Macaca mulatta: one gene and its partner. The protein of the gene in region 2 interacts with the protein of the main gene of each other region in a biochemical or structural test. Links are inferred from orthologs where the notes say so. Each region holds a gene or a part of one and is shown on either strand. Other genes may lie near its edges.

What was found.
Region 1: the proteins of RBPJ (region 2) and SPEN form a complex in vitro, tested with the Homo sapiens proteins (2 studies listed by BioGRID and IntAct). The link is inferred for Macaca mulatta from reciprocal best matches to the Homo sapiens genes RBPJ and SPEN.

Annotation. Positions count from the first base shown.
Region 1 is NC_133406.1:225,091,265-225,095,071, forward strand, and holds part of SPEN (msx2-interacting protein), read right to left. Parts: coding exon 1-3,807. UniProt on the Homo sapiens protein: May serve as a nuclear matrix platform that organizes and integrates transcriptional responses. In osteoblasts, supports transcription activation: synergizes with RUNX2 to enhance FGFR2-mediated activation of the osteocalcin FGF-responsive element (OCFRE).
Region 2 is NC_133410.1:25,359,806-25,364,077, forward strand, and holds the start of RBPJ (recombining binding protein suppressor of hairless), read left to right. Parts: upstream 1-1,167; 5' UTR 1,168-1,281; coding exon of another isoform or gene 1,282-1,301; intron 1,302-4,272. UniProt on the Homo sapiens protein: Transcriptional regulator that plays a central role in Notch signaling, a signaling pathway involved in cell-cell communication that regulates a broad spectrum of cell-fate determinations.

The DNA of each region.
Region 1 (3,807 bases), on a different chromosome or scaffold from region 2:
GCTTTGCGATGTGTTCCACAGCCTGCTCCAGCTCCATCTGCTTGGCTAACTGGGTGGCTTCTGGGGACGGCCCAGAGGCAGACGCGTCTTTCTCTGATTCCTTGTCTGGATCAACTGGATCACTTTTCAATTGGGATGATAAACCATCCTCCTTTTGGGGACTCTCACTTTTCTCAGGGGAGACTGCCACCACCCCGGGTTCCCTCTCCCCTGCCTGTGCTGCAGCCCCCCTGGGACTGACAGCAGCATCCACATTTTTCAGACTTGCAGATTTGTCCACTGCTAACCTGGAGTTTCGAGATCTTCCTCTCTTTGATTTGGAGTTTTTTTCAGGGGCCGGTTTTTTCTCTACAACTTCAACAGGGGCGGCTTCAGGGAGATTTTTGTCTGTGCCAGCATCTTTTCTGTCACATTTCTGTTCGCTCCCTGCCTCTTCCTCAGCAGCCTTGGGTTCCGTGGGGCTCTCTTTCACACTTATTTGGGGGCCCACCTCAGTGGTGGCCTCAGGACGTGCAGCATCCACCTTCAGTTCATTTCTTCCCTTTTTCCCTTGGGGGCCACCACCAGCTGCAGTTTTCTGGGACCGTGGGGACCGCCATCCCTCAGGTGGCTTGAGTGTTTCTGCAGGTTCCTTGGTCTCGTTCTCCTCCTCTTCATCGGCTCGCCGGCGTGTCTTTGGAGGCCTTCCCCTCCGAGGGGTGGTGGGAACCGCCGCGGCCTCCTGAAGCTCTCGCTCCAATCTCTTTCTGGTCACTCTTGGTTGCTCAATGGGCTCTTTGACAGGAGAGCGGTTTTCATGGTCACCCATGGTTGCATAGACGCTCCTTACATTACGGCGCCTTGTTCGGCTAAGAGGCAAACTTGGTTCGGGATGTTCAAGGTCTGCAGCAGAGTTTTTAGAAGCAGTCCTTGTAATCTTCTCTGCCTCCATCTTCAATTCCAAAAGCTTCTGTGCTTCTACCCGAGGAGAATTGGACCGCTTGAGTTTTTCCCGGTCTATCCTCTCACTCTTCCTTGTGACGGGCTTCTCCACGATACTTACTGCAGGTGCCTGAACAGGGGTCTTTGAACGCTTGCTTTTGTTTGGCTTTTTATCCTTTGTAGCAACTGGAGGATCAACCTCTAAATCTTCAGAAGCTGGGGGCTGAGCCTCAGGAACAGCTTCAGCTTTCTGGTTTGCATCAGGCTCAGCATCTGCAGTGGTGTCTGGCTTTTCAGCCTTTGGCTCACTGGCCTCCTCAGACTTCTGAGCTGGTTTTGAAAGTGGCTGGGTACTGTCAGGCTCTGGATCTACATTGCTCTCTGCCTGGGAAAACGAGGCCCCGGGAGTTGGAGGCTTGGCATCCAGATAAGGCAGCTGGTCACCTAATGAACCTTCCTCAACACCTGCCGGAATCACAGCAGCTTCTTTATTGGGGTCTGCTCCTGGGGGCAGGTCCACTTGTTCCGGCTGTTCCACAGGGGCAGGAGCAGGTTCAGACACAGGCTTTGCTTCTTCTGAGACAGTGGCTGGCTCCACAGTCTTATCTTCTGTTACCAAAGGCGCCTCTACCATTTTGTCACCAGCGGTCTTCTCTAGTGCTGATGGGGCTGACTCTAGAGTTGCGACTGTGACACTTGGAGGCCCAACGGAAGGTGGAGTTTTTAGTTCTGCATCTTTATTCTCAGGAGCAGATTCTGGGGTCTTGGGATGATTCTCTATATCTTCCTGTTTCTCAACCTCTTTGGGTTTCTGGTCTTTTTCTTTTTCTTTCTGTTGCATTCGTGTGAGCTCCATAAATCTGCTATGGAACAGAACTACTGGTTCTTGAATGGAATCAGTTGTGCTGTTTGCTCCCTCAGATGTCTGCTTACCATAGATCCTACCAGAAATGAAGTCAGAGTCTTCCTCTTTTCTCTCTAGATGCTGCAATCGCTTGGAATCTTGTTCAAAGATTGAGCTGTGTAAAAAACGAGAAGCAAACAATTCCTGCCTCTCTTGCTCTTCTTCTTTATGGTCCTCTTTCTTATCATCCATTTTCCCTTCTGAATCAGTCCTAATTTTCTTCTTTTTCATGTACCAGGATGGAATAGGTCTTGGAGCAGAGTCAACCTTTTCTTTATCTTTGTTGTTTCGAAAATTTGCAAATCGGGAGTCCCAATCAAGAAAAGACCAATTTTCTTCACGAGATGAAGAGAGGGATTTAGCTCTTTCAAGCAAAGCTTTAGTGTCTGGTGTGATTGTCTTATCCAATGCAAAAGAGTAAAATTTGTTCCTTTCTAAAGAACTAGAGAGTCTTTCATCTCGCTCACGTAGCTTGTCTTCTCTGTCCCTCAATAAAAAAGACAATCGAGAACTTTCATATAATGCAGAGGCTCTGGGTGAGTGGGATTTGTGTTCACCATCTTCATCAGAATCAGAAGGCACCTCTCCAGGTTCCAGATCTCGTACAGACCTTTTTCGAAGGCTATCTCTCTTAATTATGCTGTTTGGGAAACTCACATCAAATCTGCTGGCATCTTGTTTCATCTGAGAGTCCCAACGATTTAGTTCATCTTCAGAATTCAAGACAGATAGTTTTATTTTGGCCATATCTGCCATCTGTTCTCTCCTGCTAGAATCATAAGGATTAAATTTTAAAGACTCTTCCCTGACTGTTATGTTAGAATAGGGGAGGACTTTTTCATCTACTTTAGGAGACCCCTTTACTGACATTAGCCTAGGGGAGCCTATGGGATCCTCGTCTTCATGGAAGGAACCATGTCGGACACTGGGAGAACAACCAGTCCTTTCAGAATCTTCGCTGATTTGGCGTGAACTTCTGTAATTCCGTTCTCTCTTGGTGCAGATATCAAAATCAACATGATCCATCCTTTTCTTTTTGCTGGGAGGAGAGTCATCGGTGACATCTTGAGGGGGTTTGCCTACCTCGTGAACGAGGCTACGTCTTTCATATTCATCTACATCTTTTTTAGGACTGCCAAACTTCTCAGACTTGGCTATTTCCATTTCCATCTGCTGTTTCCTACGACTCTGCTCCATTTGTTTTCGGTAACTCTGCGTGTGATCGATGTCAATGCCAATTTTTTCTTCAGTATTTACTGAATGTGATTTCTCTTGGCCTGATTTACGTTCAGGTGTTTCATCACGAAGACTGCAGTAGTTTTTCCTAACGTCTTCTCTCTCTGGTCCTTGATCATCTAATACCTGTAGCTGTTTGAGCTGTGGTTTTGAGGGAATGGGTTTTTTTGATTGGATTTCTTGATTTTCCACAGATTCACCTGTTGGTTCTCCCAGTCTTGCTTGTAGGTCTGAGCTGGGCCTTGAGCCAGACCCAACAGAAATACTGGCAAGCTCCTGACAGTCTTTGGGGCTGGCAACAGTATTAAGTCTGTCCAGTTTGATTTTTTTAGATTCTCTTTTAAGAATTTCTTTCCTCACAGGCTTTCTTTCGGCCTCTCCTTCCCTCAGCAGAATGACCTCTCTAGAGGATACGTCAGGCTGCTTTTTTGAAAGCATGCGAGCATCCTCCATCTCTGGACTGCTTTTCTTGACCTCTGGTTTTTGCTTTTCTGCTTTTAAATTGGAATCTGCAAAGCGCCTTTTCCTTGCTTCCAGCTTTTCCAGATCCACAGCACTTACCCCGTCTGCAGCCTGCTCAGGCTTGAGGTGCTTCCTGGCTTTAAGCCTGCCCTCCTTCTCCACCACTTCAACATGGCTTGAAAGCCCCTTTTCCTTTGGTACTTTCATTCTAACAGATTCCAGTTTAGACAAGTCAGACTTTGCAGGCTCCGTCTGAGAGACCTGAAGTTTCTGGTCCAGGGCTG
Region 2 (4,272 bases):
CGCCAATCCTGCAGCGCCTTCAGCAGGTTTCGGGCGGCGAATTCCAGTTCTCCGGGTTTTGGGGCTCCCTGCGGGAGGCAGTGCTGGATTGGGAATCTCTAGGAAAGGAAAGGGCAAAGGAGGGGAAAAATGGGGGGCTGCAGGTAGGAGGAGGGGGCGGGGTTCGGGCTCTGCACCTTGCTGTTCAATGCCCGGCGGGGCCAGGTTCGCCCGGGGGCTTCCGGCATCAGGCCGCCTGAAGCGCGATTCGGGCAGCCGGCAGCGTCTTCGGCTGTGCCAGGCCCTCGGGTGGCCCGGTTCCCTGTGCAGTAGTGGCCTCAACACACACCTGGGCTCACACACGGTGGCGGCTGCGATGGGGTCTTAGAGAGGCCATGTGGCACGCGAGCTGCAAGAGCTTTGATCAGGGCCTCTGGCCCGACTCGGAGGTGGGAGAATGTGGCTCTCAATTCCAAGGCAGTTTTCCCTTCTGGAGAGAACTACTCCGCACCCTGGCGTGTGTCTGCGAGGTGGCCATTAGGGGTGTCTTTCCCAGAGGCCTTGACTTGACCTCATTTCACACCTAAGGAGAACGCTAAGCCGAGAGAGCTCAACTGCAAAAGTTTTCCGTTTGCGGAGCTCTGGAAGGGCCTCCTCATTAGCATGGGGGTGTAATGAATGAAGACAGTTCCCGACGTGTCACTTGCCCGAACCCCAGGCACCTCTGACGCTCCTGCACCTAACGCCGAAATTAGCATAAAGGAGGCGCCCAGGGAACGTCTGAATGAATGAAAGGAGCTGGGAACCCAGAGTGAGCGGGAAGCCGCTTGGAAAACACCCATTGAGGAGGTGTTTCATCTAGGCCTGTGAAACGCGGCCCATTTTCCCAGGACCCCTCCTCCCTTCTCCTCGGCCCCGCCTCCTGACCCCTCCATTCCCCGTCCCCGTAGTAATCCCCTCCGGTTTTCCTCAGTCTCCACGTACGTCCCTCAAGGCGCGTCCCAAAACCTGGATAACCGGAGCGCTCCCCATGGACCACACGGAGGGCTCGCCCGCGGAGGAGCCGCCTGCGCATGCTCCATCGCTTGGGTAGGTTTCCAAGGGAGGCAGCGAGCAGGATCCCCTACTCTGCGGGCGGCGCGAGGCGTCTGGCTCTTCGCGGCGGCGGCGAGGGGAAAGGGAGCGCGGGGGCTGGGTGGAATCGAGGAGTGAGGAAAAAGGGAAGGGGCGGGGGAGAGGGACCAGGGAAGGCGTCGGGGGGAATCTCGCGAGGGTTGGAGTTTTGGCGAGAGTTTGTGGAAGATGGCGCCTGTTGTGACAGGGTAAGTCCGAGGGAATCGGAGCGCTGGGAACCGGGAAAGTTGCGGGCGTCTGGCAGCCCGCGGCGAGCGGCGGATTCGGGGGCCGCAGCGCGCTTGGCGTCCGGGGGCCCGCGGGGGCGGCGTCGCGTGCGCCGAGCGCGGCGGCGGCTGCGGCGTGTGACCGTGCGCTGCCTCTGCGCTGCCGTGGCTCGGGCTCCGGCGCGTGAGGGCGGGAGGCGGCGGCGAGGCCGGCGGGTGCGGGCGTGAGTGCGGCCGGGCGCGCGGGGCCCTCGGGCGCCGTGCCTCCCGCGCGCCTCCAGCGGGCCCTGCCTGGGGGCCCCGTGCAGCTTTGTTCCTCGCGGCCGTTGTCGCCGCCTCGCCCCGCTAGTGCCCCCGGCCCCGGGCGCTTTGTCTTTCCCCGCTGCCCCCCGCGACTCTCTACCCCCGGCCCTTTGTTTCGCCGCCTTGGGCGCTTTGTCCGACCCGTGGCGCCCCGCATCCTCTTTCCATCTCCTCCCCTCCGCTGTCCTTCCTCCCGTGCCCCTTTGTTGTGCCCCACTCTTGTCGGTAGCCCAGTGACCTGCCACAGCCCGGGCACCAGATTCCTGTCTTAATTGTTCTTCCATTGTCTTTCTCCTGTGGGTCCTCTCTCACCTTTCTCTGCGGTCCTGGATCCCCCCCCCCCGAGGCGTTGTCTCCCCCATCCATGGGCTTATTCTCTCGGCACCCCCTTCCTCTCCCGTCATCGGTTGATTTATCCACTACCCCCGGTGTACGTCTGCTGAACTGTCTCAGCCCCGGAGACTCCATCTGCTGCTTCTAAGTGCACACAGACTCTACGGTTTGTTGTTGTTTTGTGAGTCTGAAAGATGCATGGGATACTTAGTTTCCTCCTCCGCACCCCTTTTTCTCGGGATTTCTTGCACCCCCCGCCCCCCCATCGCCACCCCTTTCTTTCGGGATTAAAGCGTCTCCAATTTTCATCGCCGTCTCTTTAGTGCGGTGGGTTGTTTTGCTTGGAAACAGTAGCCCTGGAAAAAGGTCTGGTCTCTTGGTGGTTCTTGCGTCCCCCGGCCCCCGGCCCCCGCCCCCCTCCTGGTTCCTGACGGCCTAGGCCAAGGGCAGCTGTCTGTCGAAGCTTTGCATTTAGGTTGCCTGAGGATGATTGGAGGGTATCGTAGGACGGTTAGAAGGAGGCTCAAGATGTATATATGTGTTTTTCTGTTAGTGTTTGAGAATAGTTTCAGATATCCACAATGGATATTCATTTGGCATGTGAGTAGGAGTTGAGTGAATTTCCATGTTGAAAACTTGTGAGTGTTGGGGCGGAGAATTTCAGCATTTTCTAGAAATCTGGATTTAGAATTTATCAGAAACTCCTGCCTCATAAGGAAAAGGAGAGGCATTCCGGTTGGGAATTTTATATAAATGTTTTACTTTTTCTTAATCATTAGATGGTTTACAGTTATGTGCGTTTTTGCTGCTCTGTGGATGCGTGACAACCCTTCTGTCCCATCACTGGGGTTGAAATGAGGACAGCACCGAAGAGTGCAGTTTCTGATTGATGAATACTGCTTCTAGGATCTTTGTGGAAGATATTAATCAAATGCAGTAAAAAGTATACGTAAAGATGTATATTATATATATGTAATAGCCTGTAGTGAGATTATTTTAAAGACACTTCCTAGTGTTAAAGGACCCTTGAAGTGTTCTTACTGTTTTGGTAATGCTAAAAGCTTGGGGTTGTGTGAATGGGGATGGGGGGTGTGGTGTGATGTCTTTTAATGAGTTATTCTCGTGCTAGGAATAAGAGTTATTATATTTACCAGGATTACTATGCTGAATGTATTCTTCAAGAGTGAGTTTGTTTCTACTAGTTGGTCTCTACTTTTAGAAGGTATGTTACACATAAAATCATTTGGAGTGTCATTTCATTTACAAACTGAAGTTCTACAATAGTAAAGTGTTGTTTATAGAGGACATATGAGATCTACTCTAACGAGTATTGGAGCATTGGAAAGTATTTTTTTTTTCTGGCTGTGATTAGAATTAGTAGTTTGAGTTTTAATTAATGGAAAACCATGGTTTCATGATTGATACTTAAGTTTTTTTTTGTGAAAATCTGCAGTCTGGGTCGCATGAGTGGGTTTTACCAATAATCTTATGTCTCCCTTACTTGTTCTTGTACATAATGATTCTTTTGAAGGTAAAATCTTAAGCTCACTGGTTTTCTGACTGGGAGCAAAGTGTAAATACTGTGTAATAATGGAGGGTATTTTGCTCTGACTTGTACCTGTAGAATGATTACACAGACATGATAAAAGCGCTTTTACCATTTGAGTTGCGTTTTTCTTTCTAAATCGTGTAAGACTTTTACTTTGTGGTGAAATAAAACTGCTTTTAATTAAATTATAACAGCAGCATATTTCGAAATCTGGATGAGTTGTGGCTGGAGAACTTTCATTCTGAGTATTAACTATTAAAACTTTAAGTTTTATTATCCATGCATATTGCTGATGGATCTGTGATTATATTTTCAGAAAATGAGACTTGCAGTATTTTCACATCTGTACTGTTCAAAACACTTGTAGGCTTTAGATTTTAAGCAGTTAGATTTGTTAAAAAAATTACCTATTGTCCTATACCAACGGATTTCTGTCAATTTTTTTTTTTAAGTGGGTAAGATCAAAATTGGTTTGGTTGAAAGGCCATTCTTGCCAGATGTAATTCATTAAATAACCTTTGGCACCCTTGATGGGTAAGGCATTAGGAAAAAATTGTTTTGTTTTTTAAGTTCTTACACATCTCATTCTTCTGTTCATTTTTAGAAATAAAATCCAGGACTTGGCTTTAAAACATTATTTTGCATTTTGCTTCCTCCTAATACTAAATTTCATGTTATTTCAACTAGGGGCAGTATTTTCTCATGGATTGACTAAAAGTTGTTATTTTTGGCATCTGGCTTTGTGATTATTTCCAAGTTACTCTACTT